4 linked regions of the Notamacropus eugenii genome follow. The protein of the gene in region 2 purifies or fractionates together with the protein of the main gene of each other region. This does not show direct contact. Links are inferred from orthologs where the notes say so. Each region holds a gene or a part of one and is shown on either strand. Other genes may lie near its edges.

The links.
Region 1: the proteins of DNAJB6 (region 2) and BAG3 purify together in Homo sapiens (co-immunoprecipitation; 3 studies listed by BioGRID and IntAct, with this or other methods). This does not show direct contact. The link is inferred for Notamacropus eugenii from reciprocal best matches to the Homo sapiens genes DNAJB6 and BAG3.
Region 3: the proteins of DNAJB6 (region 2) and MLF2 purify together in Homo sapiens (affinity purification with mass spectrometry; 3 studies listed by BioGRID and IntAct, with this or other methods). This does not show direct contact. The link is inferred for Notamacropus eugenii from reciprocal best matches to the Homo sapiens genes DNAJB6 and MLF2.
Region 4: the proteins of DNAJB6 (region 2) and STIP1 purify together in Homo sapiens (affinity purification with mass spectrometry; 3 studies listed by BioGRID and IntAct, with this or other methods). This does not show direct contact. The link is inferred for Notamacropus eugenii from reciprocal best matches to the Homo sapiens genes DNAJB6 and STIP1.

What each region holds. Positions count from the first base shown.
Region 1 is NC_092872.1:199,785,298-199,793,466, reverse strand, and holds the start of BAG3 (BAG family molecular chaperone regulator 3), read right to left. Parts: upstream 3,413-8,169; 5' UTR 3,018-3,412; coding exon 2,826-3,017; intron 1-2,825. UniProt on the Homo sapiens protein: Co-chaperone and adapter protein that connects different classes of molecular chaperones including heat shock proteins 70 (HSP70s), e.g. HSPA1A/HSP70 or HSPA8/HSC70, and small heat shock proteins (sHSPs), e.g. HSPB8.
Region 2 is NC_092874.1:87,373,007-87,380,856, reverse strand, and holds the start of DNAJB6 (dnaJ homolog subfamily B member 6), read left to right. Parts: upstream 1-4,562; 5' UTR 4,563-4,692; intron 4,693-7,850. UniProt on the Homo sapiens protein: Has a stimulatory effect on the ATPase activity of HSP70 in a dose-dependent and time-dependent manner and hence acts as a co-chaperone of HSP70. Plays an indispensable role in the organization of KRT8/KRT18 filaments.
Region 3 is NC_092874.1:195,041,756-195,049,593, forward strand, and holds the start of MLF2 (myeloid leukemia factor 2), read right to left. Parts: upstream 3,443-7,838; 5' UTR 3,132-3,442; intron 2,439-3,131; 5' UTR 2,411-2,438; coding exon 2,361-2,410; intron 2,126-2,360; coding exon 1,996-2,125; intron 1,764-1,995; coding exon 1,728-1,763; intron 984-1,727; coding exon 930-983; intron 563-929; coding exon 434-562; intron 222-433; coding exon 62-221; intron 1-61.
Region 4 is NC_092873.1:17,036,336-17,044,421, reverse strand, and holds the start of STIP1 (stress-induced-phosphoprotein 1), read right to left. Parts: upstream 3,116-8,086; 5' UTR 2,998-3,115; coding exon 2,989-2,997; intron 14-2,988; coding exon 1-13. UniProt on the Homo sapiens protein: Acts as a co-chaperone for HSP90AA1. Mediates the association of the molecular chaperones HSPA8/HSC70 and HSP90.

The sequences.
Region 1 (8,169 bases), on a different chromosome or scaffold from region 2:
ACTCTCTGGGTTTTCTTATTTATAAAACAGGAATCATAATATTTCTATTACCTACACTGTTTTTTTAAGGAAAGTGCTTTTAAAAAGTGAATGATTATTTCCCAAAGTGATAGACTTTCAGATTTATTTAAACCAAAGCCCTTCCTATCTGATCTGATTTTTTTTTTAAGCCACAGCCTACATGATGTATTGGGCAGACATTTCTTGCACATAGCCTTCTGGACTTGTTAGACCAGTTTCATGTTTACAACAAAATGCCAGACTATCTACGCCATTCAACACATGCAGTAAATGTTCAAACTTGATAGTTTATTAATAACTGCCTTGAGTTTTCCTGATCTCTACAGGTTTCCCATAAGCTGCTTGTCTATACAGAAATGGCATGGCAAAATAAATGTTCTATAACTACCTGATATCTTCTAAGCTGATTTAAAATGCCAACCCAGCTACAATACAAAATCTCCGTAAGATGATTTCTACCCCACCCAAGTGGTTGCACATTCAAAAATTCATGTATACAATTATGTCGGATGTTAATTATAGAAAATTAGTCAGCTGTGCTAATTTTTAGAAATGAGTACACAATTAATTATTTGTGAATTTAGTGTCTGTGGATAAGGGAGCTTCCTCAATGTTCTAAGATTATGGGATCATAGCATCGGAATCTTGATACTAGAGGGGATAATCTGAGGCCATCTGTAGTTCGAGAAACTGAGACCCAAGGCTTGGTAGGTAGACTCATGTGGGAAAAAGCAATAAAATTTTTCTTAAAATACTAGTTATACTTCCCTAAATTCTTTTTTTTCATACTTGAGTGCCTTCTATTAATTCAAATTATTGCTTTATTGACCTTCTGGCTATGACTTTAGTATTTATTATGAAGTGTTGACTATTCCTTCTTCAATTACATTCTTTAAATGTTGGAAATAAGAGTTGGTTTTATTTTTTTCTTAGGGTATTTAGCTTTAATTGTAATATAAAAGTAAAGGTACAAAAAAGCCCATTACTAACAATACTAAAATGATATCTCTCCTGTAAATCCAGGAGCCTAGCTTAGGAGCAAAAGTACTCTGGCAAGAGCTAGGCCTGAAAAGCCGCAAATGTGCTGCTGGCCTAATGCTGAGACAAGGAGAGTCACCTTCACAGCTAGCTGGACTCTGCTTTTTGCTGCTGCATGAGTGGGCAACAGAAAAACACTGCTTGCCTTCCCTGCCCACCATTTTTAGGGGACAGCTGGGAAGTTTCCACTCATTTCAGAAGAAGAGTCAGGAACCTTCCTTGGCAGCTAAAGAAGCCAGGCTTTGGAGGCCCTGAGCCAAATGTTGTGGCTCCATAGAGTCCACCCAAACTTCTTTCAACATAGGCCTTAGCAACCTCTGACTTTCTCTTCTAGCTTTTCCACTATGCTCAGAAAGCTCCAGAGACCTGCCGAGGCATGGCCCTGACACAAAGATAGAATTTTTTGAATCACTGCTTCTTGGTGTTCCACCCCAAGCTAGAGACAGTTTTACTAAAGATATTTTCATTAAGAATGGAAATTTTAAAACTAAACAATACAAGCACCACAAAATATCAAGAGACTAGATTGTTCCTTAAAATGAAAGTTACCGTGTCCTTTTATCTTGTCAACTGATAGCAAAAATGGCAACTCAATGTAACATTTTTCTGGACCAAATGTAACTCAGAAATCATATAACAGGGATCAGGAGATCTGAACAGGAAGAATTCTTATCAATCATCCAGTCCAACTTTCTTAGATGGGGAAACTGAGGCACACAGAACTTGAGTGCTTTGCCCAAGGTCACCCACATAAGGGGTAAAGCCTAGAATTCAAATCTAGGTCCTCTAAATCTGGAACCTCTAGGTTTTCCTCTACATCTGACTGCCTCTCTCACAAGCATCTCTATCTATGGACTTATTTAGAATAGAAATGCCTCTCTCCTGTGAACATACATTCAAACTAGGCAGGAGACAAAACTTCCCAGGCAACTTGCAAAAGGAGCAAAAGAAGACAGCCAACCCTACTCAATTGTTGTGTCTGTGTGCCTTTTGCGCTGTACGTAGTCCGCTGTTAAACCTGTGGACACAGCTGAAGAATAAATCAGTTTCCCTTGTGTCTCTGCTGCTCGGGTGGACTTAACCAACTTTAAATAAACATTACAGGGCTAAAGTATCAAATGATTTAGCGCACTAAGAAGAGCTGCAGTGCGTCAGAGACAAAAGGCAGCTCCTGCTTTCTACTTGGGGGGTGGGGTAGGGTGGGGAGACAAGGGGCTTGCCAATGAATGCCCTTTCCACCTCCTGCCCTTCCCTGGCCAGTCCCCGTGCCCGATCTCCCTGCCTCTCCCCGCCCCCCCTGCAGTGACCTGGCTAATCTGTCTCGGTCTCCAGGCCCGATCTCTCTACCACTTGCCTAGCCGCCCATGTCTTGTCCAGAACTCTCTACGGTCCTTCCCCCACGTCTCCTTCCTCTCCGCACTGCCACGCCGCTGGACAGAGTAACCTGTACATCAGCAGGGCGCGCGCGCGCACACGCAGACACATTCCCGGACCACCACCACCACCCGGCCTATCTCGATCCCCGCCCTACGGCTCTTCCTTCTGCTCCCAACTTTCCCTGCCCCGTGCTACACTCTCCCCGAAACAAACCAAAAGCGGAAGAGAAGGGAGGTCTATGTACTCCTTACTCCTTGTCCTATCCCCAAAGACGTCCCTCCCCAGTCCTTTCAGCTTTCTCCTCCGAAGCCCCCAACCCTCCAATGGTGGCTACCCCGCGGTGAAGAGTAAGCAAAGCCAGAGGTCGTGGGGGAGGAAGGACCACTCACTTTGTGCCCCTCGGGCGTGACGCGCGGGTCGTTCCATGTAGTGGTCCGGTTGTTGTGATCCACGAAGAATGGCCAACCCGTCTGTGGGTCGATTTTAATTTCCCAGCCTGGTGGCAAGGGGTCTCGCTCCCCGCCATTGCCGCTGTTGCTGGTCGCCATCTGAACCATTGGGGAGTGAGTGGCCGCGCTCATGCTCTGCCGAAGGAGCGACTTCTGCTACCGTAGCGGTGACTTCTGCTGCTGCTGTGTCTAGAGCTGTGGCTGCCGCTGCTGCTTGCTGGCGAGGCTGCTACTAGCTGGGGCCGGGGCTGGGGCTCGGCTGGGGCGGGGAGAGCGAGTTGAACTGGGTTGGGCTAGACAGGGCGGAGGCGGGGGGAGGGTGAAGTTAAAGAGGAGGCGAAGGAGGCTGGCTACAAGGGTGTCCTTAAGTCCGCCTCCGAGCACCTTTATGAATTAATGGTGGAGTGACGTGAGAGGAAAGAGCTGGAAGTATCTGGAAATAGTCCTCCCGGGGCAGAGGCACGGAGGAGATAACGAAGAGAGCGAGGAGGAAGCAACTGGCTCAGTAGAAACTTCTGGTTCCATCCAGCAGACTTGGCTGTGCCCCTTTTCCAGGATGCAGAGCTCCGCCCTGAGTCATCGGCTATTATTGTGGCCCTTAGTCTTTCCACCTAGGCCTCCGGTTCGGGGCTGCTTTAGCCTGCCTTTACTTTACTCGACTGCAGTTGGCTCCCGTTTGTAAGTTGAAAGGGAGAAGAGCTGGATAACTGAAGAAAATTTGGCCTTTTCAGTAGCAACCCACCCCTTCCGACTGCCGGTCGAAAAAGAAATCTGATTGGGAATGTGGGCCTATTGACTCTTTTTAAAAAGAGAAAATGGCAAGGGATTGCCCAAAATGATGGCATTTGGACTGGATGTTTGTAGAACTGAAGCGTTCCCAGTAACTAATTCGTGTGCTAGCTAGCTAATAAGGTTTCATTTTTCCCTTTCCATTCTTTATGGCTATTTCATAGCAGGTTAAGATTAAGAGAAAACACATGCAGATGTCCTGGTTCCTACCTTGTGTTTTTGAATCTCATCCTTAGTATTTTTGAGTTTTCTGGGGGTAAGAAATGTTAAATATGCTACATGGAGTAGTTCTGCTTGAGTTCTATATCCCAAAGAGTCGTGGAAAATCGGATCTAACATTATTTCCCCCAAAGAGAAGGCGTTTTGTAGGTCTGAAGCCTGTGCATTCCCAAGAAGAAAAAATAACTTCCATCAATTCAAAGCTTTTCCCCTACTTTTCTCACCCAAGTCAGTTACCCCTTCCTGTTCTGTTTTTACATTACAGGTTTTTCAGGACATGTCCTTCAACCACCATTCCCCATTCACCCCAATCTTTGTGCCAAAGAACAATTAAGCAAAATTAATCAACACACCAAATCACCCAGGACAATAACAGAATGTTCCATACTATAGGCCCTTACTTCTCCAAGGATCTGAGGGAGAATTTCCTCATTTCTTCTCTGGACCAAGACTGTTCAATATTAAATACAAAGCACTGAACTTCATTTTTCAATGAACCATTTTAAAGAGGAAAAATTATCTTTATTTTTTAAGAGTTGATTGCCATTAAACAAAATATATGTTGAATTAAAGTACAAAAGCAGAAATATCAATCTTGATGTGCATCTGTGAAGAAGGAAACAAGGTCAACTAATCTTTTCATTAACTCCCAGATGGGAAGCCTTTGCACTTCAGTAATTCTACGAAAATTTTATGTCCAGACTGGGAAAAGGGTTGAAATGGTTGTTACCTAGAATTTCAAATTCTGTCAGTTCATTCTTCCCCTTGAATCATCTAAATGGTTTGTGTAATAATATTGAGTCTAATTCTCCACCCTACAGATTAGAGGCTGAGATATCAGAATCATATAAATTCAAAGAAGAATGCCCTACATGGTTTTACAATGCAGGAAACAATGTTGTACTGACTACCAGTGGAGGGTGACTATCAGTGGTCACTCTGATCCCATATCCCCAGTTCTTCTGGACATATTGAAAATGGTCTGTGGCAAGTCTTCCAGTCACACAATGTTGCCTAACACTTTTACAATACAGGAGCACCACAGCAGCTGGCTCTCAAGGAAATTATGTATTTAGTTCATAAAACTGTCAATACAATGTAAATGTTTAACTTACATATTTAATTTATGTGCTTGACATCTGTCCACAGGCTATCATGGATTATAAATTCTAACAGAACAGGCACTGCTTCTCTCTTATTCTATTTAGTATGAATACAGGACATCTAATTCTATCCAGCCTAATTTTATTCTGACCCTAGCTATTCATCCCTAAAATATGATTATACTTGATCTATATATGATATAAACATCTGATTGATATAACATCTCTATTTTCTTGTCACTAGATCATCAATTCAGAGCTCAGAAGAACCTTAGTCTAATGCCCTCATTTTACCAGATGAGGAAACTGAGACCAAGAAAGGGTAAACTGATTTACTTAAGGTCACACAGGTATTAAGTGGCAGAGAAAGATGTCCTCCTACATCTATTTCACCTTAAATTGTGAGGTCATAAGAGGCTATGTAGGTATAAGATCCATAATTCTTATGACAATGCCTCACATAGTACCAACTGGATTTTTGATAAATGCATTCAGTTGAAGATGATTTTCAATTCTCTTTGCACAGCTAACAGCACAATGTGATAGGAACATATTTACCTCACGTAAGCATACAGTCAAGTCAACTGTGTCCCAAGAATAGTCAAGAAACATTTCATGTTAAAAATAATCAATCAAGTAAATTTTTATTGAAATTATTATGCGCAGGAAGTTGTCAGCTAGGATAGGGAACCTGCAGCCTAGAGGCCACATGTGACCTTCTAGGTCCTTGGATGCAGCCTTTTGACTGAGTCTAAGTTTTACAGAACAAATTCTTTTATTAAAAGGATTTGTTCTGTGAAGTTTGGATTTAATCAAAGGGCTGCACTTGAGGACCTAGAAGATCATATGTGGTGGCTTTGAGGCTGAAGGTTCCCCACCCCTGTAGGCACTTGGGCTGGGGGCGAAGGCATACAAATAAGTATAGGACATTGTCTTTTCTCTCAAGGGATTTATAATTTCAAGGAAGATAGAATAGTGGGAAAGAACATCATTTTAGGAGTCAGGAAACCCGGATTATATAGCCCCAGTTCTATCTCTGTTAGTTCCAGTTGTATAATCTACCATTAGCTGGGATAACTCCAACTCTACTACCCACCAGCTGTAACTCTGAGCAAGTGACTTCACTTTTGTGGGTCTCATATTTTCTTATCTGTAAAATGAAGGCACTAAAATATGACTTCTGAGGTGCCTTCTAGCTCTAAAATTCTCTGTTTTTTCTTGTTAGGAGGAAGTATATAAATTAAGGTCCATGATCATGCACAAAAGGCCTATGATCTAGTTGCAGAGATAAGGCATAAAAATAAAAAGTTACATAATTTTTTTCCCCTACCTTTGATTTCATCAAGGTATCTAGTTTCCATTTGATATAGATCAGCTTCTTATCATCTTAGAGAGTTATCTTGGGACTTGAGAGGTTGTTACTTGCCCATGATTATACAGCGGTTAATACAGGTAATGTCAGAAGCTGAACTTGAACCCAGGTCTTCTTGACCCCAAGGCTAGCCCTCTATCCTTTTGTCTCATTGCCCCTCTAGACACCAAAACAGGTCTTAAATAACAGCACTATACCAAAACACAAGAAATGTCATAAAGGATATGACTTGTTAATTGCTGAATCACTGTTGAGGTCAAAGGAAAGTGATGTCATTATGAGACTGAATGGTCTAGGAAGACTTAAGAGGAGAAGGGACTTGAGAAGGGCCTTTTTATAGGCTGGGTTCATTTTGCCTCTTTGCAAGTCAAATTCAAAATGCATTTTAAATTCTTATATGTCTTTCTTTGCCAAATACAGTTCATATTGTAACTAGTTTTATTTTGTGTTGGGTGTCTGGACCTGTGATTTCATCAGCATAAGGAACTCTCAGTATGAAAACTCCTCCAAAAATGCATATCTACCACTTGTCGGCAACACACAGTCTTAGGGAGTTTCCTGGGGCACTGAGGTAAGAAGGGACTTGCCCATGATCCCCACATCTAGTATGTGTTAGAGGCAGGTCTATAATTCAGATCTTCTCTGCTCCCAACACTATCTAGTATATCTTGTGCCTCTCAACTTTTTAGTAGTTTTTGTAACTAATAAATAAATATGTTGGTTGAAGTCTGTAAAATTGTTATGATTTAACCCTTATAGGCATTGTTTTTTATAGGCCCTTGCAGACACTCTTTGTTAGAGCTGAGCTCTGGAGATTTCAAGCCATCCCAGTTATACAGCACAGAGGACTGTGGATTCAAATTGGTGTTTGAAGCCAAGGGCACCGAGGCTCCCAAGCCTTCTTCAATTAAGTAGCCCTAAGCCATGATGATTAAGTGTGGCCTCTGGTGGTGTTATTATGGATAACCTTTATAGGGCTGCTAAGATAAAGCAACCTTTGTCCCAGGCAACTATGACTTAAAGCCTAAACAAGGGCAATAGTTGCCCACTAAGAAAAAGAATGAAAGGACCCACTCAATTCCTAATGGCAGCACTCCTCAGAGCTCTGGACAGTTGAGGTCTTGGCTCAGGCACAGACTTCTCCATCAATCTTTATCCCTGTTCTTGGGTCTGAATGATAGACATACTTACTCTGCAGTACTTCAAAGCAAGGTGGTTTTGTGGGTGTGAGTCCTGCCTCCATCACCACCAATCACAACTCCTCTATTCCCTTGTAGATAAGTCTTTGTGAGTTTCAATGGCTTAAAAAATCATCACCTGGTAACCACTGAGCTCTCTGAGCTTAGCTAACCTCACTTTGGGCAAGAGACATATACTCATGGCATGGCCCACCTGGTACTGAAAGGCTTGACTAGACAATTACAGATCTCTTAAGAGAATATAGAATCAAGAGCTATTTTACAAGACTGTAGCCTCATAAGGAAGACAAGAAGAGACCTGTTTTTTTCATCTAGACAAGATATAAGGGTTAATTACGATGGTACTTATTCCACCATCATAAACACAGTAATTACAAGTTCATAGTGATTATGGTAAAGGAGTGATGGGTATGTGTGTGTAAAAAACAGATTTTCCTATGTGAGTTTATCTAATTGTAGATTTAGAGTTTGCTAAAATCACCTAACCCCATACCCTCATAGTGGGAGACAGGGATGGAAATGGCATTTTTCAAGGGGAACTAATTTTTTTTACTAAACTTAAGAAACCATAGTTTCACAGAAAAGACTGCTATGAAAAAGTA
Region 2 (7,850 bases):
GCAAGTTTCTGGAAATGTAGGTGAAGGGTGAAGTTACATAGGTAAGGAGTTTGGATTTACACTGATTGGAATAGTATTAAAATCTATGCCAGCTTGACTATCTCTAAAAAATTGAATTAAAATCAGTTTTTAATTTTACACTGAGAAGTGCCTGTCCCAATATGAGAACTATGAGCAAGTTCTACAAAGGGACCATCTTCCCAACTTCTTTTCCCCTCTACATGTGCGTTTCTTATTAGGTAGGTGTTGGTAATTTATTTCTTTTTATTCTTAGTTGTTTCTTTATAGTGATAATTATTCTTTCTTCATATGCATTTATGGCATGCCTAGAAATGTGTTCTTCCTGACATGTTGGTCATATTCAGTGAGTACAAATGGCTAAGCCTTTGATTATTTGAAATTACATTCCAGCTTCACTGTTAAGGGCAACCTTGGGGCATGATGAGCTCTTATTTTGTTTTATTAATAGTTTATAAATTTCCATATGCAGAATTCAAAGTGAATCTGGGGTTCAGCCTCTAGACTATTAATCCTATTCAGATTTGGCTGTCTAAAAAAGTCTCCAATCCTGAGAATAGGGTTGGTCTCCAGCCCCTTACGGCAGTGGTTTTTAACTGGAGGTACAGAGACCACAAGCATAGATTTTAGGGGAGTCTGTGAACTTGGATAGGAAAAAAAAATACATCTATATTTTCATTATCCCCAACTGAAATTTAGCATTCCCTTTGATTGTGAATTTAGACCAAAAAACATTCTGAGGAGTAAAGAGGAGATTCATGGGCTTCACCTTAGTGCCAGAGGCCCTAGACACAAAAAAGGTTGAGTTCCTTTTTGCTTCAGGCAAAAAGTTTCTGCCTTTTACCTGAGGAAGATGCAAAGAAGGGAAAGTCCTGTTTTTTTCTAGCTGTCACAGTGGGAGGAGATACCTAGGATCTGAGAGGTTTCTCTTATGTAACTTTCCCCTAAGAAAGGAAGGAGGAGGAGGAGAAAGGTGTACTAATCTGCCAATTTTACTCCTCACTATGGTACCTGGAAGTAACATTTACAAAATAAACATGAGCAATGGTGGGGGAGGGAACTCTGGAAAGGCCTTGGGCTGAACCTTGAAGGAAAGTAGAAATTCTGAAGAACTGGTGTTGAGTAGTGCATTCCAGGCCTGAAGGGCAGTTTGTGCAAAGGCTTGGAGTTGGAAAGGGAAAGGCCTGTGTAGACAACAATAAATAGGCCAGTTTAGCTGGAATGAAAAGTATGGGCAACCAGCCCAGACAGGTAGACTGGAGCTAGATTTGGAAGGGCTTTAGTAGACCTGAGGAATAACATTGTCAGATTTGTGCTGAATTGACTCAAGGTATTGACAGCAATTCTTTTCTTGGAACAGTAATTGAAGCTATGGCACTTCTGTGTCCTCCAGCAAGGGAAGCCACTCTTTCTAAGTTAGTGGTTCATTTTTATTTTTTTAAACTGTATTTTAATGTCCTTTGGTATTGAACATAAGATCTGAGGGAAATCAAACAGGCCATCATTGCTGTCATCATCATACTGTCTTTCCAGGAATTCCTATGGAATTTTACTGTATGGAGTTCTACAGTTCAATCTAAAAACTTGATATTACTAATTAAGTTGTCTTTCAATTGTAGTTGCAAGTTAGATGTCATAAACCCAGTTCTATATGGCCTTAGTAAATTAGGGCCACTCACTGTGTTTGAGCGCTCTTTGTTTAGACCCTATATTTTTCATCAACTCATATGGCAACTCATCTATACTAGTAGAGGAAAGGAAAAGGTCCAAAGGAAAAGATGTGTTTAAAAATTATGAAAGGATATTTGTATAGTCCCCAGAAGCCTTGGGAGAACTGGAGATGGAATTGGGATGCTGTGGTCCTCTGAATCATATCTGAATTGGGGTGGTGTAGCTGTTCTGAAGATGTCTTCCTAGACTTCCACACATTTCTGATGTGTTATATAGATGTTCCTCCTATAGGGGAGTTTTGAGGTTGGTTATTGGTTGGTAGCAAGAGGTTACTTGTTATCTTCATATACAAAGCTATGCCTTGGGATCTTTGAGCACAGAAAATGACTGAGGGGGATGAGAGTATGCAACTGGAATGTTTCCCTGATAAACTCAAGGTTTGCTAATAAAGGGCATGTGGAGGGTCTTTTCTGTGCTATAAGGTCATCTAAGCCCAGATGGAAACCTATCTATGAAGTTATTATTGAGAAAAGTGGGGGAGACTTTGTATGGTTTTAGCAAAAGAGGATAATGCACATTTTTTTATAAGACGCATGCCAAGTGATGTGGGTATGAACCTTCCAAGGAATTTTTCCTTAAATTATCTGGCAAATACCAGAAAAATGGCCTTGGGTTCTTCTTCCAAGTAGCAAGGCCATGGCCTTGGGATTCTGCATGTGAAATGCTAACCCAGATTCCGTAGGGGAGAGGGAATAAATTTCTACTACACAAAGGTCTTAACAAGGTCTTATTTATTAATACCACTGAACTGTGTATAAAGATATGTATACATGTGTACAGATACTTGTACAGAGCATGAGCAGAGATTCTCCATTGGGTTAAACATATACATTTGACGCAGGGATGAAGTGTTCAGTGCTTGTAGATAGTAAGGCAGTCCCCTTATTGGTTGCTGAGAGGTAAGAGTAAATAGCTTAATATCTGGTACAAGATCTCGATTTGGGGGGTTCTGAGTGAGAGTGAGCTAAGTGAACACAGCATCAGAAGTAGGTTTGACATGAATATGGTTCATCTTCAGGAGCAGGGAGCTACCAAGTTGCCCAAGGAGGAGTGAACAAGTCCAAGTTCAAAATGGAGGTCAAAGCTTCTGCGTCTATGAGCAGTGGAATCAGCCCAGGAAGAGTCTCTGTACTTTTAGCATGGACAACATAGAGACAATCAGTCTTTTTTAAAAGAAGAGAAACAATCTAAGGCATTCCTCAGAAAATAAATGGGCAAAGCATACGAACAGGCAGTTTTTAAAGGAAGACATCCAAGCTATCGACAATTACATGAAAAAATGCTCTAAATCACTAATAGAGAATACAAATGAAAGCTACTCTGAGATTCCACTCATACTTTCCACAATGGCAAGGATGACAAAATCAGAAAATGACAAATATCAGAAGACCTCTGGGAAAATACACTCACTGATGGTGAACCTGCCAATTGGCCCAGCCATTCTAGAAATAATTCTGTTGTTCAGAAAGTTACCAAACTCTCTATATCCTTTGCCCTAGCTACATCACTACCCTCTAAGAAATCAGAGAAAAAAGGATCAGTGTGTGCAAAAATATTTATAGTAATTCGCTTCATTTTAGTTCAAAATTGTGAGACAAGGAGGTGTCTTCCTACTGGGTATGGCTGAAGGGACTGGGGTACATATGAATGTGCCAGCTTAGATGGTGAAAGGCCTAACTCCAGAGGTAACGGGGAGGACCTTCGTCAGCTGAAGCGTGACAAATCCCAAGTCCCAGAAGATGAACAGGTCGGCCCATCCCGATAAAAAGGGGATCAATTTAAAATGCTGAAACAGGCCCCGGCTCCGGAGGCTCTGCTCTCCAGTTTAAAAAAAATACTCGGTGGGATGGAGTGGGAAAAAAAGGTTAAGGGGAAAAGAACTTGCTCCTGAACAATAAGAATGGCCAGCTCGGTAACAAGACCGCAAGGTCATCCTGTGCGTGAGGCTGTCGTAGGGCCCAGTGTGATTTTCTGTTGGAGACTAGGGCGGGCTGGGCAGACCCGAAAAGAAGGATATTAAGGAGAGCTAGGCCTTCGCGGGCGCTTCCACGTGCCAAGCACCGTGCTGCCCTACGTCATCATCTCATTTCATCCTCACGACCGCCCTGGGAGGGTTTTACAGATGAGGAAACTGAGGCAAGCACCACGGAAGCAGCTTGCCCCAGTCCCGGAGGACCCAGGGGGGGCCACGCGGCGAGGAAGGAGTCCGGGGGTCCCCTACCATGGCCGGCCTTGCTCAGATGTCGGGGGGCCCGGATCCGCCGGATCTGAAGCGGGGAGGCGCATGGGGAGGGAGACAGGCGGGTTGAGGAAGAGTCCTCTCCTGGTCCCTGGATCGTAAGCTCCACGAGGGCAGTGATACCTTTCCCCGAAGGCCGGACCCCTCTAGGTGCCTCATCAGCCCCAACGGTCGCTGGGGGGAGGGGCGGCGGCCTCAGCCCTTTGACGTCCCAGAGGGCGCCGGAGCGTACGTGGATTTCAAGGGGGGGAGGGGAGGGCCGCCACTAGGCGGGTGGGCCCAAGGCGGGGGCGGCGGAGTTTCCCCCACCGTCGTTCACTCGGCGGCCGACAGATGGCGCCAACGGCCGCAGGCGGCCTGAGCGTCTGCCGAGCGAGCGGAGAATTTTCGGGAAGGTGGCGTAGGGGCGGGGCGTAGGAGGCGCAGGGCTCGGGCAGACGCGGCAGCCGCCCCCACCGCCGCGGTCGCCGCCTCCAGCTCACTGAGTTTAATGGTGGAAGGGAAGTGGAGCGTCGCCGCGTAGCTCCGACGTCTGACGCACTTCCTGTTTGTTGTTGGAGAAACGGAGAGAAAGGAAAGCGCGAGGAGTCGCCGCCGCCACCACCAGCACCACCAGCACCACCAGCAGCGCCGGAGCCGAGAGGAGACCGCGGGCTTCGCCGCCCAGCCCCTCCTCCCCGCCGCCAGCTGTCAACCCTCTTCGGGTAAGGAAGACCCCTGTCAGGGCCCGGGGCTCAGGGAGGAGAGGTCCTGGGCTGAGCCGCGGCGGGGCTGGCCGGACTTGTCCCCGGCGCCTTAGCAACGGCGGTGTTGCTGACCCGCCCAGCGCGCCGGCTCCCGGGGCCTTGCGGCCTGCCTGCCTGCGCGGGGCGGGGACTCGGAGTGTCTGCTCCCAGCCCCGACCGCCGGCTCGGGTGTCCTTGCCCGCCGCCGCCGGGCATCCGGCTCTGCGGCCCGGGCCGTTGGGGGAGGGGGTGGAGGACGCGTCCGGGCGCTCGGGGCCTCGCCGAGGATTCTCAGCTCGGCCCCCACCCGCCCTCGGACTGGATGGGGAAGAGGCTGAAAGCCCCCGGATGGTCGGGGGTCCTTGGGGGGGCTCTCGTTGGTCTGCGGGGGAAGGCGGAGGGATTTCTTCAGTGTCCCTAGCTAGTGCAGTACCTCTCTTCCTGTCATCGCGTGACCAAAATTAGGCCCCTTCTCCCCCAAAATGCAGTTGGTTAGATGAGAATGTGAGCGCCTGACCGAGATGGGCACGACGTTTGGGTGCCCTCGGGCATTTTTCTCGTTCACTCAGCATTTATGGACGGCCTACTGTGTACTAGGCCCGGTGCCAGGGGTGCGCTTACCAAGAAAGGCAAACACCGCGTCCCTGCCCTGGAGATAGAGAGAGGGCGCCGGAGGTGGAGGAGCCTGTTGTGGGCGGTGAGGGGGTCCGACGCTGCGGAGACGGAATCTGAGCGTTCGCTGCGGAAGGTCGGGCTGGAGTCTGCGAGGGTGGCGGGGAGGCGAGCGGAGAGGCCCCGCAGACTTTGGGGGCGCAGGTGGGACCGCTGCCCCTCTTTCAAACCTTTTTTTTGGGTAAACTTTTTATTAGAATAAAGGCAGGAGTTGGAGGAAATAAGGTAAGAGAGGCAGGGGAGATAATAGCCGCTAGTAGAATTTGTTTGGTACTTCACAGTTTACTAGCCCTTTATTAGTATTAGCTCATTTTATCCTTGACACAACCTTGGGAGATAGGTGCTGTTTGATGAGGAAACTCAGGCAGATAGGCCTGACTTCAGATCCATCGAATTATAAAACTGAAAAGTAAACATCTCCTTCTCAGTGGTATAAAAGTAACTTGTAGTTCGGTTTTACCTTAGAAAAACAACCGATTTGGCAGTGCAGTTCAGGTTGTATAATTCCTGGTAAAGTAGTGGTAATCAGTTTTTAAGAAAGTATAAAAGAAGAGAAATCTTAAACCACTATCAAATTTGTTCACTCCGACTGTACTTATGAAAGTACGGTTTCTAGTTGTTTACCTTTTATAGAATCAGCAAGTCAAATAAATGAATCTCCAAAAGGTATTAACATTGGATAGAAACAGCAAACAAAATTTGGGAAATAAGTAAAATGTAATATATTTCCCTTAATTCTGATGTGGCTTTAGACACTTGCTCAGATTTGAAGTTAGGAGAGAAAATTCAGCTTGACTGCCTGCTCACTGTAAAGTGTAGGTACTAAAGGGAGAATTTTGCTTACATAAGAGCAAAAAAGGAGTGTGAGGGTGACAAGAATGAACAAAAAAGTGACTTTGTAAGTAATTAAGTGTTTAATCGAGATTTTGAATTGGCCTACCCTCACCTCCTCTCAGTGGTTATCATCATAGTTTTACACCTGAAAGAAGTGGGCTTGCAAGCTGTTTTTTTGCTCTGGAGGTCAGAATGATCCAAGGAGAAAGATGGATGCCATTCCAGTAGTAGCTACTGAGATGATTAAAACCTGGAAAAGTAACACGTTAGTATGTCAAAGATGTTTGATTGAGTTTAGGAAATTCGTTCAAGGAGGAAATTCTGCCAGTGCTTATCAGCACTATTTGATAGTAGAAGTTGCTACCTCTGTAATTTAGGTTCTCAAAGAGTTGCTTGGGACGTGAGGGTAAATAATTTGTCTGGAGTCACATAAGTATGCCAGTTAGGGTTTACATCCAGATCTTCCTACTTACAAAACCAATTTTCTGTTCACTTTTTGATACTGACTCCCATAATATGTCTCCCTCCCCCCCCAAATGATTTAGGAAAAGTGGGCTCTAGGGAGTGTTACATATATGTACCTTTTTAAGCAACAGGAAATAGTGTAATATAGAACGCATTAGACTGATGGTTGGGATGTATCAAGTCCTATTCAACCACTTGTGACCTTGATAAATAACTTATATGCTTCTGTTTCTTTATCTGTAAAGAATTGAGGTCTTAGCTCTAAACTAGGTCTTGGCTCTAAAACTTTTTACTGAATATATTTTATGAAACATCAAACATCTCATTCTTTTTAAATGCCTCAAAAATCTCAGTTTCATGGGTTTAGATATACTTTACACATACACTAATTCAATCTTTTCATTGCTTTAATGGACAGTTTAACGTAGGGATTCTTAATCTCTTGTGTCGTGGATCTTTCTGGCTATCTGGTGAAACTGTGGAGGACCTCTTACTAGAATGTTTTTAAATGCATATATTATATCAAAATAACAGTTGCCAAAATGCAAAACAGAAAACAAAAATCATCAAGCAAATCCCCCCCAATAGTTTGACACTTTCCCAAACCAAGTTAAGAATTTCTGATTTAAAGAATTGATGTACCTGCAAAAAAGTAACCTGTGAATTCTCTGTGCCTTTCTAAACTTCTTTTGAGTGGCAGTCCTTCACCTATTCAGGCCCAGAAAGAAACCTTTCCAGGAGGTACAAATTTTGCTCTCTGGTGTAGCCCTGGGTTGTTGTTGTGTCTGTCTTTCCTTACTGAAGACCATGACATCAGAGAAATGATGACATGACTTGCACTTGACTTTATTTTGAGTGAGGGAGGGCTATGCAGGTCACCAGCCTCACTTTTCCAGAGCCATCTGAATCCAGTGACCTGATATTCCTCTGGATGAACTGGAGATGACCCAGGATACACTAGAAGACCTTGGCCCCTTTAGGCCGAGGTCTATGCAGGTACTCACTTAGAGTGAGGTAACGCCCATTCATTGAATAGTCCTGTTTAAGAAGTAGGCAGGACATGGCTCGTTTTTATGAGGCTACATCTGGGATGGAAACTGCAACAGTTACTATTGATAGTCTCGAGAAATTACATTTAGGTAGGAACATGGAAAGAGGCCATTTGG
Region 3 (7,838 bases), about 110 Mb from region 2:
CATCGAGTGAGAAGGATGAGAATGGCAAGTGGAAAGGCCCGACAGACTTGAGGAGGCTCACTCTCATCCAGATTGATGTAGTCCTGCCTTTCTTCCTGGTCCCCAGTGCGGTGATTTCGGGAACGCTGCAGGATGTGTGCCCTGTCTCGGATGTGATGCCCAATGGACATCTGCTCTAGCCCACTATCAGAGTCCCTCACAGTTCTCCTTGTCTCCCGGATCTGAAAAAAGGACAGAGAGCTTGTCATATCTAGCTACCTTGCACCCAAATTTCTACTGACAGCTCCTGTGGTCAAAATTTCCCTCAGACAATTCTGATAAACACCCTAGTGTTCTTCTGCATGACATCGAGCACCACTTGCTTGGAGAGCGGCGGGAGCCAGTCCAACACTGTGAATTCAGAGTTGCTCTACAACCTCCCCACAGCACTTACCCCACCTGGTGCTGAGCGCATCTCAGATGTTTCTTGGTAGACTTTGGGAGCACCATCACCCAGGTTGGAGTAGGAGATGACAGTGGAGGATGAAAAGGTCTGACAGTTGGCTCCAGTTGTCATGTGCTCCTGAAGAAGAGGGAGGCTGGAGCTGAAGTAGTTGGTGAGGGAGGGGATCCCACCCTCACCAGAGAGTCTCAGCATCTCAGCTTGTTTTTAACTTTGTCTCTATTGTAGTACTGTGAGAATTCACAAGTGACCTTGATGCAATTGAAGGAATTCTGCTCTAAACTGGATGCCTAATGTGAAATGTCTACCTTGAGCAAGCTTTTTGAGCAGGCACCTGATCTCATGTCTTCATGTAAATGCCAACTTCCAACCCAGAATTCAAGGGTCTAACTTTTTAGTGAGTTCTTTTATAGAAAAAGAGGAATCCTCGGGATGAGGCTGTCATTTAAGGTCAAAAGGTTAAAAAGACTAGGGGCAAAAGGCTTACCACATTCCCGATCATATCATTCATCATCCCAAACATGTCCATGAAACCACCTGTCTAGGGAAAGAGAGTTAGAAGAAAAGGCTCAGGACAAATCAATATACTCCAGGTTTCTTCTCCAATCTCAAGACTGGCTTGGGACCTTTATAATGCTATCTCTTTCCTCTCCCCCTCACACCTGGTCATCTGCTCTAAGACCTCTTGGGAGGCAGTGTGGTTTATGGAAAAAGCACTAGATTTGGAGTCAGAGGACGCGAGTTCAAATCTTAGCCTTACAACGAATACCTGTTTGACTTTGGGGTTTTTGTGACTGAGAAAATCTGGGTCCCTTCCAACTCTAAATCCTTTTATCCACACCCTGAATCTCCCTATCCAAACTGGCTAAAACAACACTGACCTCTTCTCCTCCTCCTCTGGCTTCATTCTTCTCCATTTCCTGGCTTCCCTACCTTCCCTTTCCTCTAACAACTCAACCTAGAGTCAGTGGATTTTTAACCTATCAAGAACCAATACTAACTGCTCCCCAACACACACACATAACAACAAAATAGGAACTCATAAAAAAAGGGAAAGAAAAAGAGTTCCCTTTCTAGAGATTCTGGACATGGGGGCACAGTTAACAAATATGTAACACTGTAGGCTTAAAGCTTTGTGAACACTCAATAATATGAAAGGGGGGAGAAGACAAGGAGACACCACTACAATCACTCCTAAAGACTCCTTAAAGGGATAGATCTGAAAACAGTACTGAAAGGGAATAAAGAACAAAGGATAGGAAGATATGGGGGAATGAGGACTTACCATTCCCAGCATCCCAAAGGGTGAGACAGCTCCAGCCTACAGATGCATGGACAAGGAGTAGAATTAGAAAATATACCTCCCCCACTGCGACCTCCTCTCCTTTCCTATAAATCTAGGTTAGGCCCACCTCCCCAAGTTTATTCCCATTCTCTGTTTAAGCATGAGGAATTTGGCGCCCCTGCCCCCATGAGGCAAGGGCAGGGATTTTTCCTCAAGTTCCTTCCCAATCCCAAGGCCTGGCAGAGTCTTAAACATGTTGCCCTGTTACCTGCATCCTTCGACTAGCAGCAGGTCGAGCCCCTGGGATGCTCCCATCTGTGATGCTAAGGAAAGGGCTGTAACCGAAGCCTCCTGACAACATCCGACTCATGTGCTGTCGGTGAATAGCGAAAGGGTCCCTGCGTAAAAGTACAAAAGGCATCATGTCAGGAAGGCCACAAGCCCCATGACTGGGTTCCTTCCTTCTCAAATTAAAACACAAAGAAAGGAAGGCAAAGAGAGAAGGTGTTTGCCTTGCAGTCCAGAGCAAACACTAAAACCCAATGTTCTGACTCCCCAAAAGAGAGTCTCCCAGCTTCTCCCGGGCTGGGGCTTGGAAATGTCCTGGTCTGTGGGTGAGGGGGGGAGACTCACATGAGGAACATAGGATCCTCAGGCTCTCCGTCCCTCATGAACCGGAACATCCTGCTCTCAGCTTCCGGGAGCTCTGAACTAGAGGGGTGAGGAAAGGAGATGGGAAACAGGGGTAAGAGGCCAGCAGGGAAGCAGATTCACCTTACCTTCAGGAGGGGGCCTCCAGTGCAATGGCTCTCACAGTACGGTTGCTCCCCACCCCGCACATAGGAGGAAGGGCTCTCTCCTGAGATGCCCAGCATAATGCAAACACTGGAAAGCCCTCTCAAGATGCCCACCATAATGCAGACTGAAGGGAAGCCTCTTTCCTCCAGATGCCCACATAATCCAATATGGGAGTGCAAGCGGCTCCCCAACTTCCCTTCCTCTCAGTGCTGGACAGTAATATTTTAAAATAAATACCACCATATCTGCTCCTTTTGTCCGGCCCCTCCAGGCCAGCCACTCTTTCCTGCTGTCCGGGCTGGCAGCCCCCTCCTTTTGTCCGTCCCTCCCCCGACATCAGGGCCCTCGCTCCATTAACTGCCCCGGCCACTTGGTTTCCTCTCCACACCCTGCCCTGCCTCCTCCCCACTCCAGGCCCCCACAGCCTTAACCTGGCACCCCGGCGGCCGATGGGTCCGTCCCGGCTCCCGGCCCCTTCCCCACTCGGAGCCCAGGCCAGCCCTGCCCCTCCCCCGCCCGGCCCTCTCCCCTCCCGGCGCTCAGGTCCGGCCTCGCACGCCCAGGGGGGCCCGGCTGCCCCGCGTCCGCCCCCGCCGCGACCCTCACCGGGCCCCGATCCAGGGCGCTGGGGGCCCGAGGCTCAGGCGCCCATCCGGCCGGGCCCGATCCTGTGCGTGGCGCAGGCCCGCGGAGCCGCGGCCCTGGCTGGGTGCTCCGCTGGGCCCGGGGCGCGCTGAGGCGGCTGGGGAGGCCCGACGATCCTTCCTTCCTTCCCTCCTTCCCTCCTTCTCTCCTCCTCCGCCTCCTCCTCCTCCTCCTCGTCCTCCTCCCGCTGCCGCCGCGGTTGCTACTGCTGCCGCCGAGCACAGCCAGGCTCAGCCACTGCCAGGCCCAGGCGGAAGTGACGTCACCGCCCCAGTCCTCTCTCCCCGCCCCCGCCCCTCTGGGCTTTCCCTGACAGCCGACCCGGCCAGGGGAGGTGCCCCGCAGGGGTTGGCCTGTATTTGCTTCCCTTTGGCGGTGCCTCTTCTCCCGCACACTTAGGAAATGACTGGGGTCTCTTGGGGTGATCCCTGGAAGAAGGAGGGAGGTGGGGGCGGGGGGATGATGCCGAGGATGGTAGATTTCCTATGGGGGGAGGAAGAGGAAGACCAAGGGGAGGGGGCAAGTTTTCTAAAAGGGAGGACAGATTTCTGGTAAAAGAGGGGCAGGTATGGGGGGACTATCTAGACGAGAAGGGAGGGGCACGTTTTCTATAGGGCCGAAGTAGGGAGGGCAGGCTTCCTATGAGGAGAGGGGGAGATGCCCCATGTGGAGGGAGGTTTCTTATAGCGGGGCGGGGTAGGATGGAGAGGGAGGGGAGATTTCTAAAAGAGGATGGACGGGTTTCCTATGGAGAGGAGGAGGAGGAGGAGGAGGAGGAGGAGGAGGGGGAGGAGGAGGAGGAGGGGGAGGGGGAGGAGGAGGGGGAGGAGGAGGGGGAGGGGGAGGGGGAGGGGGAGGAGGAGGAGGAGGGGGAGGAGGAGGAGGAGGAGGGGGAGGAGGAGGAGGAGGAGGAGGAGGAGGAGGAGGAGGAGGAGGAGGAGGAGGAGGAGGCAGGAGCGGGTTTGTTGTGAGTGTGGGGGAGGTTTCCTATAGGGGAATCGGAGGAAGAGGGATGGGCAGGTGTCTGAGAGAGGAGGGGGAGCAGGGTCCGGGGGAGCCGGGGGAGAAGGGGCCGGGGCCGGGGCAGCCGGGGCCGGGGCCGGGGCCAGGTCCGCGCAGGCCCAGGCAGAGGCGAGCCGGGCAGTGTAAGGACGGAGACTCGTTTTGCTGCAATGAGTGGGGAGCTCAGCTCGAGGCACTGAACCCTGAGCCCGCCTCAGCCCAGGGACTGGCCACTGGAGGGCTCTGTCCTCTCACTGGACGTCTGCGGGGGTGGGGGGTACCCCAGTGACCCCCTCTGTAAAGGGAGAAGCCTGGGGATCAGAACCCTCCAGATGGGCGCTCTTCTCCTTCCCGGCCCGTGTCCCAGCTCGCAGGCGTTTGCCCCTAAGAGGAGCCAGGACAGAAGGGGTCGTGGCGGACAGTGCAGTAGCCAAAGGGCTCATTCCCAGATTATTTTGGAGGAGGGGAAGCTGGATTTCAGAGCAGAAACGACTTCCGGACCCTCCAACCGCGCCCCCCCCCAACCTGGGCCAGAGCTGAGCTGAGCACGCAGGTGTCCTCAGGTCGACCTTGGATATTCTGGTTCTTGGGTCAGCCTGCCTGTTCCCCTCCGGGGGTTTGCCCAATTTAGATTGAACTTTACACAAAACATATACAAACTCTCACCTCCCTGACTCTTTTTACCTGATCCTTCATCTGGTTGGAACAATCAAACCCTGAGGAAAAGGACAGTTGGCATTATACCCCCTCTTTTTGGGGGGGGGGCGTAGAATGCCGGAGAAAGGAGTATATTACTGAATCGGGGAAAATGCTAGTGAAAACTTCTTTTGGAGATTTCCATTTTAATAGGTGGGAAAAACTGAGAAGGCGGGAAATAATAGCAGAAACAGAAAGCCTCATAGGCAGTAAGAATAAAAGGAAATGAAACTTTATTGATAATAAAAGGGAAAAAACTGCAAAAATCTGTGCTCACCCTGCAGATGCAGCAGTCCACCAGCTCTGTGGTACTCCTGACCTCCAAATTTTCTCTTTCCTGCTCTCTTAACCTTAAATTTCCTCCCTTCCTTCAACAAATGTGAAACAATTTTGGTAGTCAGGGAAGGGGTGAAGATAAAAAGTTTAGATAAGACCTCCAGGAACTTAGAGTCTAGTTGGGCAGTATGTGGTCAATTAATGTGACACAATCAACCTAAAGGCAACGATGTGGTTAAATGTGTAAATGAGATGGTTCATAATTTTGATCTCTTTATGAAGTGTGAACCTCTAGGTTAAGAACTGAAGAGCTATTAGATTGACTAACATGACAGAACAAGAAAATGATAAATGTTGGGGAAGATGTGGGAAAATTAGAATACTAATGAGTTATTTGTGGAGTTGTGAACTGATCAACCATTCTGGAGAGCAATTTGGAACTATGCCCAAAGGGCTATAAAACTGCATGCCCTTTGACCCAGCAATACAACTTCTAGGTCTATATCCCAAAGAGATCATTAACATGGGAAAAGAACCCACATGTACAAAAATATTTATAACAGCTCTTTTTGTGGTAGCCAAGAATTTGAAATTGTGTGGAATCAATTGAGGAATGGCTGAAGAAGTTATAGTATACAAATGTGGTGGAATTCTATTGTTCCATAAGAAATGATGAGCAAATAATAAAAATGACAATTCTACCTAAATTAATTTACTTATTTAGTGCCATACCAATCAAACTATCAGATAATTATTTTGTAGAACTAGAAAAAAATAATATCAAAATTCATCTGGAAGAGCAAAAGGCCCAGAATAGCAAAGGGACTAATGAAAAGAAATGCTTGGGAAGGTGGCCTAGTGCTACCAGATCTCAAATTGTATTATGAAGCAGCAATTATCAAAACCACTTGGTACTGACTAAGAAAAAGAAGGGTAGACCAGTGGAATAGGTTAGATACTCAAGACACAGTAGTCAATGAATATAGCAGTCTACTGTTTGATAAACCCTAGGACCCCAGCTTCTGGGATAAGAACTCACTGTTTGACAAAAATTGCTGGGAAAACAGGATAACAGTGTGGTGGAAACTAGGCATAGACCAATACCTGACAGTGTACACAAGAATAAAGTCCAAATGGGTACATGATCTAAGTATAAAGAATGATACTACAGATTAGTGGAGCAAGGAATAGGGTGTTTATCAGATATATGGAGAAGGGAAGAATTTTTGATTAAACAAGAGGTAGAAAACATTATGAAGTAAAAATGGATAATTTTGATTACATTAAATTGAAAAGTTTTTGCACAAACAAACCCAAAGCAACCAAGATTAGGAGGGAAGAAGAAAACTGGGAAAGAATTTTTTAAACTAGTGTCTGTGATAAAGGCCGCATTTCTAAAATATGTAGAGAACTGAGTTAAATGTACAAGAATACAAGTCATTCCCCAATTGATAAATGGTTAAAGGATATGAACAGGCAGTTTTCAGAGGAAGAAATTAAAGCTATCTATAATCATATGAAAAAATGCTCTAAATCACTATTGATTAGAGAGATGCAAATTAAAACAACTCTGAGATACCATATCACACCTATCAGACTGGCTAACATGACAAAACAGGATGATGATAAATGTTGGAAAAGATGTGGGAGAGTTGGAACACTAATCCATTGTTGGTGGAGCTGTAAGCTGATCCAACCATTCTGGAGAGCAATTTGGAACTATGCTCAAAGGACTACAAAAATGTGCATACCCTTTGACCCAGCAATATTGCTTTTAGGACTGTATCCCCAAGAGATCATAAAAATGGGAAAGGGTCCCACATGTTCAAAAATATTTATAGCAGCACTCTTTGTGGTGGCCAAAACCTAGAAATCAAGGGGATGCCCATCAACTGGGGAATGGCTGAATAAATTGTGGTATATGAATGTAATGGAATACTATTGTGCTGTACAAAATGATGAACAGGAAGACTTCAGAGAGGCCTGGAAAGACTTAAATGAACTGATGCTGAGTGAAAGGAGCAGAACCAGGAGAACTTTGTACACAACAACAGCTACAGTGTATGAGGATTTTTTCTGGTAGACTTAGAACTTCATTGCAATGCAAGGACTTAAAAAATTCTTAATAGTCTCTTAAGACAAAATCTCTTCCACATCCAGAGAAAGAACTATGGAATTCAATTGTAGAATGTAGCAGATCATTTTCTTTTGTATGTTCGGGTTTGTTTTATGATTTCTCCCATTCATTTTAATTCTTCTATGCAACATGACTAAGGTGAAAATGCATTTAATAGGAATGTATGTGTAAATATATAGGAATAAATAAATAGGAATGTATGTATAAAATTGTATGCTGTTTCAGGGAGGGAGGGGGAAGGTAGGGGAAAAGGGGAGGAAGGAGGGGGGAAAATCTAAGTTATATGGAAGTGATTGCAGAACACTGAAAACAAATAAAATAATTTAAAAAAAGAAATGATGAGCAAGTAGACTTCAGAAAAACTGGGTGACTTACATGAACTGATACACAGTGAAGTGAGCAGAACCAGGAGAACATTGTACATAGTAATAGCAACATTGTGAAATCACTAACTTTGATAGACTTAACCTCTTCTTAGCAATGCAAGGATCTAAGACAACTCCAAAAGATTCATGATGGAAAATGCTGTCCACAATCAGAAAAGGAACTATGGAGCC
Region 4 (8,086 bases), on a different chromosome or scaffold from region 2:
TCAGCTCATTCACCTGAGAAAGGGAGGAGGTAAAAGGCGAGTCACCAGGGCCAAGTCCCTCAACTCCAGCTTTTCACTCCCTCACGTGCTCTTCGTGGGAATACAAGGCCACTGCATGGCTGGAGCTTTTCCATGGAGAAGGCTGGCCTTCCAGGTAGAAATCTGCTGCTCTGATGGAGGTCCCCCTTCCCTGATGAGCTCAGACAAACAGTTCTCAGTGTTTGCAGGATTGAACATATACACACCTCTCTGAAACCTCAGGATGACCCTGTCAAGTACCACAGGCATGAATCCCATTTTTCCGATGGGGAAATGGAAACTCGAGGATTAAATGGCTCATCTAGCCACAGAGCTAAATCAGAGGCTGGATTCAAATCCAGGTCTCTCTGAATTCCAGGTCCAAAACACTTTCTATGACTCCACTTGACCACAATCTAAAATTAACTGCTTCTTTCTATGCCAAAACACAGAAAGATGGAATTGGACCTTGAAATTCATTGGGTAACAACAGTAAATAGAGGCTCCCTCGCAGGCTGGAATAGCTTAATTTCTTTTCAAATTTTCCCACTCCTCACTGAATCAAGAGATCTAAAATGTGCAGGCACAGAGATAAGCTCAAAAGGAAAACTGTGGGACTGACCTAGGGATTAACCTGGGAAAAAAGGGCAGTTTGGATTTGTCACGTTTCCCAAAAGTCCAACAGAGACTCTCTTGATTCCCTTGGGGCTGGAACTGGTTAGCAAAGAGAGCATGTGAACATGTTGTTCTGTTATGGTGTCTCAGTCGGATTTCTGGAAAACTGGGAAAGACTTCCTACTTCCAGAGTGAAGAGATGCCATTTCTTTGGCATGGTTAGACCATGTTCCTGAGGCTAAGAAGAACCCTCCCCTCGTTGAAGTGGTCATGAGTCATCCATCCATAGGACAGGCAAACACTTTTCTCTCAAATGGCGAAGGAATAGGGGGAAAAAGGGGAGGGTTGGCACCCTAAGATCACTTTGGGAGATTGAAATAAAGCCTGCCCCCTGCTCAGTTTAATTCAGCCAAATCTATGACTCATTTTTTTTAACCTCCAGTTGAAGTAAATGTAGGAGGACCATGCATGAGAGAGGGTCTGTGGTACCACTTCAGGATGTCTCTCAAACCAGCAGACAAGGGCCTTTGAGGAAAGGCTGGCAGCTTCTCACACATGGGTGTGAGGGGCAGAACCTCAAACAGGGAAACAGCTATCCCTAATCTGAAAAGTGCCCTCTCTCCCCCATTTGTACATCCTTTAAAATGAAAAGCCAATATAAAGCTCAAATGCAACCATCCTTAGTAAGAACACTACAACAAGAACATTGCAATGGCTGCCTTCCCAATGTAACTCCTGGTTTTTGTGGCAGGTATGGAGAGAGTTGCAGTTCAGGCACAGGTGGGACTGAAAAGGCCTTTCTAACTTGGGGATTCTGAAGTCTGATGGAGGAAGGAGCGAGAAATCCCACTCAGCAGGTAAGCTTGGGCCAGTCAAGAAATAAAAAGAGCACACTGAGTGTGGGTGATTCCCCAATGCGATTACAAAGGGGAGCTCAAGTGGAAAAGTCTGACCTGACTTGTGCTACAAATTTAACTTAAAAGACTGGCCTCTCAAGATTTGAGTCCGCCCCCCTCCCCAACGTTCCAGCTTGTGGTGTTCAAACGTTTCTTACAACTCATGGACTTTCCTAACCATAAAGTGAATGAGACAACACACAAACCCATCCGGCAGCGAGGATGAGGTTATTCTCAGACCTGGGATGTAGAGACAGAGGGTAGACAGCAGGAAGGCCTGGATTCTAGTCCCCACCCATGTGGGGTACCGAACCAATCCCTTTCTCAACCTCAGCTTGCTTATCTGTGAAACGAGTGTAAGGGAGGAACCCTAGATGGTATCTAAATGTTAGAGACCTAAGCACTCAAGGCTAGCTTGCCCACAGACCACTCTACCCCAGATGGGACCCTCCAAGTTTCCTTCCTGTCCTCCAGGCCCCCGAGAGTGAGCCAGAAAGCCAAGTCCTGTCGTCCTACCACAACAGAGACACCTCTCCCTTCACTCCCACAAGCCTGGTCTGCCACCCAGGGCCTCTGGTACTGACCCGGCCTCTTACATCCCATCACTGCACCTCCGAGGAACCCAAAAACTTGGGGAGGCAGCCTGCGTTTGGAGAAGGGTCCCAACCCGAGCATCAGCTCTGCTGTGTCCAGCTAAAAGGGGGGGGTGTCCCCTAGTCTGCTCCAGGGCCCCTTTCCTCAAAGCCTTTGAGCCCAAAGAGCCCCCACCTGAGGCCCAGGCACCTTCACTAGGACGCCCCAGAGGCACAGAGAGCCTGCCTCGGGGCGCCCCCATTGACTTCACTTTGCCCCCCCTTTACTTCAATCAGTTCCCAGTTTCTCCTGCATTTACCCCCCATGGATTTCACGGAAGGCCGGGCTGACTCCCTCCCCCCATCCCTGGAGCCCCACGAGGGCCTGCCCTCCTCGGACCTGGACCCCCCGCTGGGAGTCCTGCCTCTGCCCCCCCCCCCCTTACTTCCTGTCTCTTAGCTCGGCTCCTCGGGCTAACCCCCAAACCTTGGAGGTCTCTCTACCCCGGATGGGCCCAAGAGCCCTTCTCCTTTCCCCCTGAAACAGGCTCGCCTTTCCTCCAGACCCTTCCCCTCCCCCCACCTCCACAGCCCCCCCATCCCAGGCCTTGCTCCTCCCCCTCTCGCCCCCCCATTCTTTCCCCCCTTCCAGTACTTTCCCCCGCCAGTCCTGGGTCCCGTCGCCTCCCCTCAGATTCAATCTGCCCTGGGCACCCCAATAACCGCCCTCTGACCCTGGCCCGGCCGGGCCCGCCCGCCCCTCCCTGGGCCCCGGTCGCTTCCCCAGCCCCGGCTCAGTTACCTCAGCGGCGGCCCCGGGCCTCACCGCCCCCCCACCTCTCCCCGGCTCGCCCTCCTCCCTTGCTCGCCCGCCGGCCGCCGCTCACCTGCTCCATGGCCCGGGCCGGAGCCGAGGCAGCCGCGAATCCGTCCGCCAGCCCGCTCGCGCCCAGCTCCCAGCCGCACGCGCCGCCTTCTGGAACCTACTAGAAGCTGCCGGGACTCCCGGCTCCCGCCCCTTCGTAGCCGCCCCATTGGTGGAGTTTTCCTTCCGAGCCCCGCCCCCTAGCGCTCCGAGAGGCTGACTTCTCCGCCATTCATGGGCACCTTCCTTTCATTGGACGGCGGACGGCGATTCGCTCCACCCTTAGTCTTTTCTTCCTCGCCATTGGGCGTTCCTTGGCACGGCCCGCCCCAGAGCCTGCTTGACGACTGGCAGAGAGGCGTTCGTCTGCTATACTCATTGGTTGGCGAGAGCGCCGGTCTGGCTGGCGCTGGTCGCACCCATTGGTCCAGTTCCTTCTGGAAATTTCCACCTTTCCCATTGGACTGACGGGCACAGTGACGTCAGAGCCAGCGATAAGGAGCGATTCTATTGGGCGCAGGGTCTCCAAGCGCCTGGCTCTGATAGGTCGCTCCTGCTGCCATTCGAGCAGACTGTTGCCACGGCCTTGGCCCTTCCCCCGCTCCCTTAACTCGTGGGGAGTGCCTAGGCTCCGGCCAGGCTGGAGGTGCTCGTTTCTCGCAACCCGGGGGGGCGCCCTCGGGTATAACCCCGAGCGTCTCCCCGATACACTCTGCCCTCTCAAACTGCGCAGGCTCACGGAAGGAGTCCGGGCAGGGCCAGGGGTGCCAGGGGTGCCAGGGGTGCCAGGGGTCCCAGGGGGCAGGGTCGGCCTCTGTGAAATGGGCTGCCGTGTGGGGGCGGGGTGTGGGGGGCGCTTAGAGCTCTGCACCGGAGGTGGGGTGCCGGGGAAAGCACTTAGCAAGGCCATTCACCTCCCACTGCCTCAGTTGCCCCCAGCTAGAAAACAGGGATCATAAAAGCGCCTACTCGCATGCATGACAGTTGTAAAGGGCACAGTTAAGCACTGGTCCTTGGCACACAGTAGGCGCTTAATAAATGCTTATTTCTTTCCTATTAGGAGCAACTCTGTCACTTTGGGGCAAACCAGTCAATCTGAGCCTCAGTTTCCCATCTGTGAAACGGGGTCTATGGCAGCACCTGCCCCAGGATCGCTGAGTGGGAATGGGATCCATAAGCCCTGCCTCAGTGTGAGCTGGGGACAGAGGGGGCACTGGCACCTGTGTCTTGGTGAGGATGGGAGCAAACCCATCCCCCTCATTTTACAGATGAGGAAACAGGCCAGGAGAAGTGGCTGGATCTGCCTGAGGGTTAGACTCTCTTTCCAGGGCCTCACACTCTGCCCCGGGACCCGAGTGGGAATGCCACAGCCACCAGATAACCTGGCAGTCATGACCTGAATGCCATTCCTTATGTAAGAGAGATCACAACATATCAGAGAGAGGATAGGTCCTCATAGCTGATTCTGACCCAGGCTCTTGCGTGTCCTGAACCCCTGGGACAACGTGGGGGGCCTTTCTCAGAATCAGGTTTTCAAATGCATCAGAGCAAATACATAGGATTGCAAAGGAGACCAACTCTGTTGGAATAAAGTGATCAAAATATTGACCAGCCAGGGCCCAGGGCCCAGGCCCCACACAGAGAGAAGAACTATGTGCATCTAAGATTACATATTATGTATAACATTGCTAATAGAATAGAATTGTAAATACACATTTATACACAGAGTAGCCAACCTGCATGAGCGGAGGACAATTCCACACCAGGAGATACCTTCATGGCTGAAATTTCAATGAGTAAAGTAACAACTGTTTATTATTTTTTTCTGGGTAATTAACAATCATTTTATTAATGAGGGCTATTGGATAATTAATAGAAGGGTCATTTTGATGTCTGTCTTAAACCAAAGACTGACCACTTCTTATTAAATACAGAATAATGGTAAAGCCTAACACATAATAGGCACTCTATAAATGCTAGCTATCATAAAACACCCCAGGAATACATACTGTAAGGGAAATGGAATACATTGATATAGTCTATATAATACAGTTTTAGTGCTAATTTTCCTGGAAGCCCCTCTCAGGTCCCCCAAAGGCAGTCCTATGATGCCCATCAGGAAACAAGGACTGTGACCCCACACGGTGACCTCACAGCCCAGTTGTGGGCATCACTGACTTGGCACTCATATGAATACTGTATCTACCACTTGTGTCTGCATTCTGCTGGGGGAGATCATTTGTACATAAATAAATCAACCCAAAATAAAGGTACATACAAGGTTAATCAGAAGGGGTGGGGCAGCGATGGGGAGGACACTAACAGTTGGGGAGGGAGCCGAAAGGGTCTCATGTGGAAGGTGTTCCTTGAACAATTTTGAAGAAAGCAAGGGATTTTAAGAGGTGGAGATGAGGAGGGATGACATTCCAAGCACGGGGTACAGCCAGGGCAAACACTTGAGGTGGGAGAGTCTTGTGTGAGAGAACAGTATGAAAGCTAGTTTGGCCGGACCACACTGCATGGGAAAGGAAGTACCATTTAATCAGGTAGGAAAGCTAGCTTGGACAAGATGACTTCCTGCTCTGACATTCTGTGATCCCCCTTACTCTGAAGAGTCAGACCCAGCTACAACTCACTCCTCTCATCATCTGTAGGTTCCTAACTGGCCTCCTTGCCTCCAGTCTCTCCTCTCTCTCCAATCCATTCTTCATACAGCAGTCTGTGTCTGTGTTCTGCATACAGTAGGAGTTTAATAAATGCCTGTTGCTTGACAGACTGACGGAGCCATCTGCTGTATACTTTCCAGGAAGTTTTCGACACATCTCTCAGACTGGAAGGTAAAGAAAGTCATCCTGAATTTTCTTTTCCTCCAGGAGCTGAGCTGCCACCGGGCCCGGAGGGAAAAGATTTCTACTTACATTTCAGTTCTCTGCCATCTATTTCCCAGGATTCCTGCCACCTGCCCTGGTCCTCATGGGCACAGACCCAGCCTGGGGGCTCCTCTCCCCCTCTCTGGCTCCTTTCTACCTGGTGCTGCCAGCCTAGGAGAGGGACAAAAGACTGGTGATTTGAGATCATGTCTGTCCACACTCAGCCTAACATTCAAAGCCTTCATAGCCGGGCCCCTCCTCCCTGTCCTGGCCCCTGCTGACCCCTCTGTCCCAGCATCCTCTCTGGCTGCCCCCAGACCTGGAACATGCCCCCCTCGTGCACTCCCACTACTCCTTAAGGCAGGACTAAAACTCCAGCTTCCACAGGAAGCCTGCTCCAAGCCCTGCTTGCTCCAGGGCCTTCCCTCATTCTTTTGTATTGTCCAGGCTGTAGTTCACCTTGGATATATTAGATTGAAGGCAGGAACGGTCTTTATCTTCTTTTTGTGTTCCCAGGGCTTAGCACTGTGCCTGGCACACAGTAGGTGATCCATCAATGTTTATTGAATGGAATGGACTTAGTAACAGTGCTTGGCACATAGTAGGTCCTTAATACATCCTTTCCCTTTTATTAAACTTGATTATCATGATGTCATCTTTCTTGACTTGCCTGTGAATTGGATTTAAGTGAGGAGAAATAGATGATTTCAAGCTGGAAGGCTCTCAGAGGTTGTCTAAGTCTATCCCACTAATTAGACAGAGGAGGAAACTGAGGCTTAGAGACGGTAAGAACTTGCCTCATGCCCCACCCCCAGTAAATGGAAAAGGCAGAACTTGAACTCAGATCTTGAGACTATAAATACAGCACCAGCTTACCTTTCCTGCTAAACTACCCTGAACACCTATGTGAAGTCCTCTGTAGCCTTCAAACGCTCCTGGACCAACAGAATCACAGAGGCCAGTGGAGAGAATGCAGGATTTGGGAGTCGGGACCCCTGGGTCTCCATCCTAGCCCCAGCTAGCACCACCTTCTACAAGAAGACTCCTGCTCCCCCTCAATTCTATATTCTCCCCTGCTCCCAATTATCTCCTACCCATCCCGTTAAGCCTGTTTGTCCGAAGCTGTTTTCCTCCAGGGCTTGGCCCAGTGCCTGTCACAAGATACTTGTCGGCCTGTGTGACCTTGGGTCAGTCCTCTCCCTGGGTCTTAGTTTCCTTCCCCGTTAAAAGCTGGGTTGAGGATGGTTGATTTCTGAGATCTCCTTCAGTGGGTGAACTTTGGTCCTGTGCTTTGCAAACTCTAACATGTTACATAAGTCACTTTTTACTCTTTGTGGGCTAGAAGGAAGCATGCCAGAAGACGGCTGGCTGGCAACCAGATTCCAGGCCCTGGCATACCCGGCTATGCCCTGGGCGGCCGAGCTGGTCACTTCTGCAAAGAGCTGAGGCAGGTTGGGGGGCCAGCCAGGCAGGGGGCTATTTCTAGTGCTGAGTTTGGATTCCAGCAACAGGTGACGGGGCGGTTCAAGTACGTGGGGCCTGGGAGTGAATGGCTAATTTGAGAATTCCCAGGCGTCCTGGGAAACTGGAGATAGGACGTGAGGGGAGGGGGGAGGAGGGCGGAGGGGAGGGCTGGGACTCAGGATGCTGGGAGATGTAGTCCTGACTGGATGGGGGGGAGGAAGAGAGAGGGAAGGAGGGGGGGGGAGAGAGAGAGAGAGAGAGAGAGAGAAAGAGACAGACAGACAGACAGAGACAGAGACAGAGAAAGACAGAAAGACAGACAGAGAGACAGAAAGACAGAAAGACAAAGAGACCGAGAGACAGAGAGACCGAGACACAGAGAGACAGAGAGAGGGGTATGTATATGTGTGAGAGTGTGTGTGTGGTGTGCAGATATTTCTGATGAACCAAACTACTTTCTGTCAGCGGCCATCTGACAAACCTTAAAATATCTGCCTGGATCATCAGTCCCTCTGCTTTGTCACTCATGTCCCCATACCTAGAGTTCACTCCAGTCCCAGGCACTGTGAGGTCAGGGTGCCCTATGCCACTCTCACATTATGAGACAGTACAATTGTAACATAAGACATCATCCAAGAAAGGCATGAGCATAAAAAAGATGGGTCAGTCCCCAGACAGCCGAGGAGGGGCTCTGGAAGCCCCAAGATCTCCAGAGAAGGAAGGAAGGCATGCATGCCCTTGGGTGGACCCTCTGTGGGGCTGCATCTGCATGGAAGGAGGAATGCC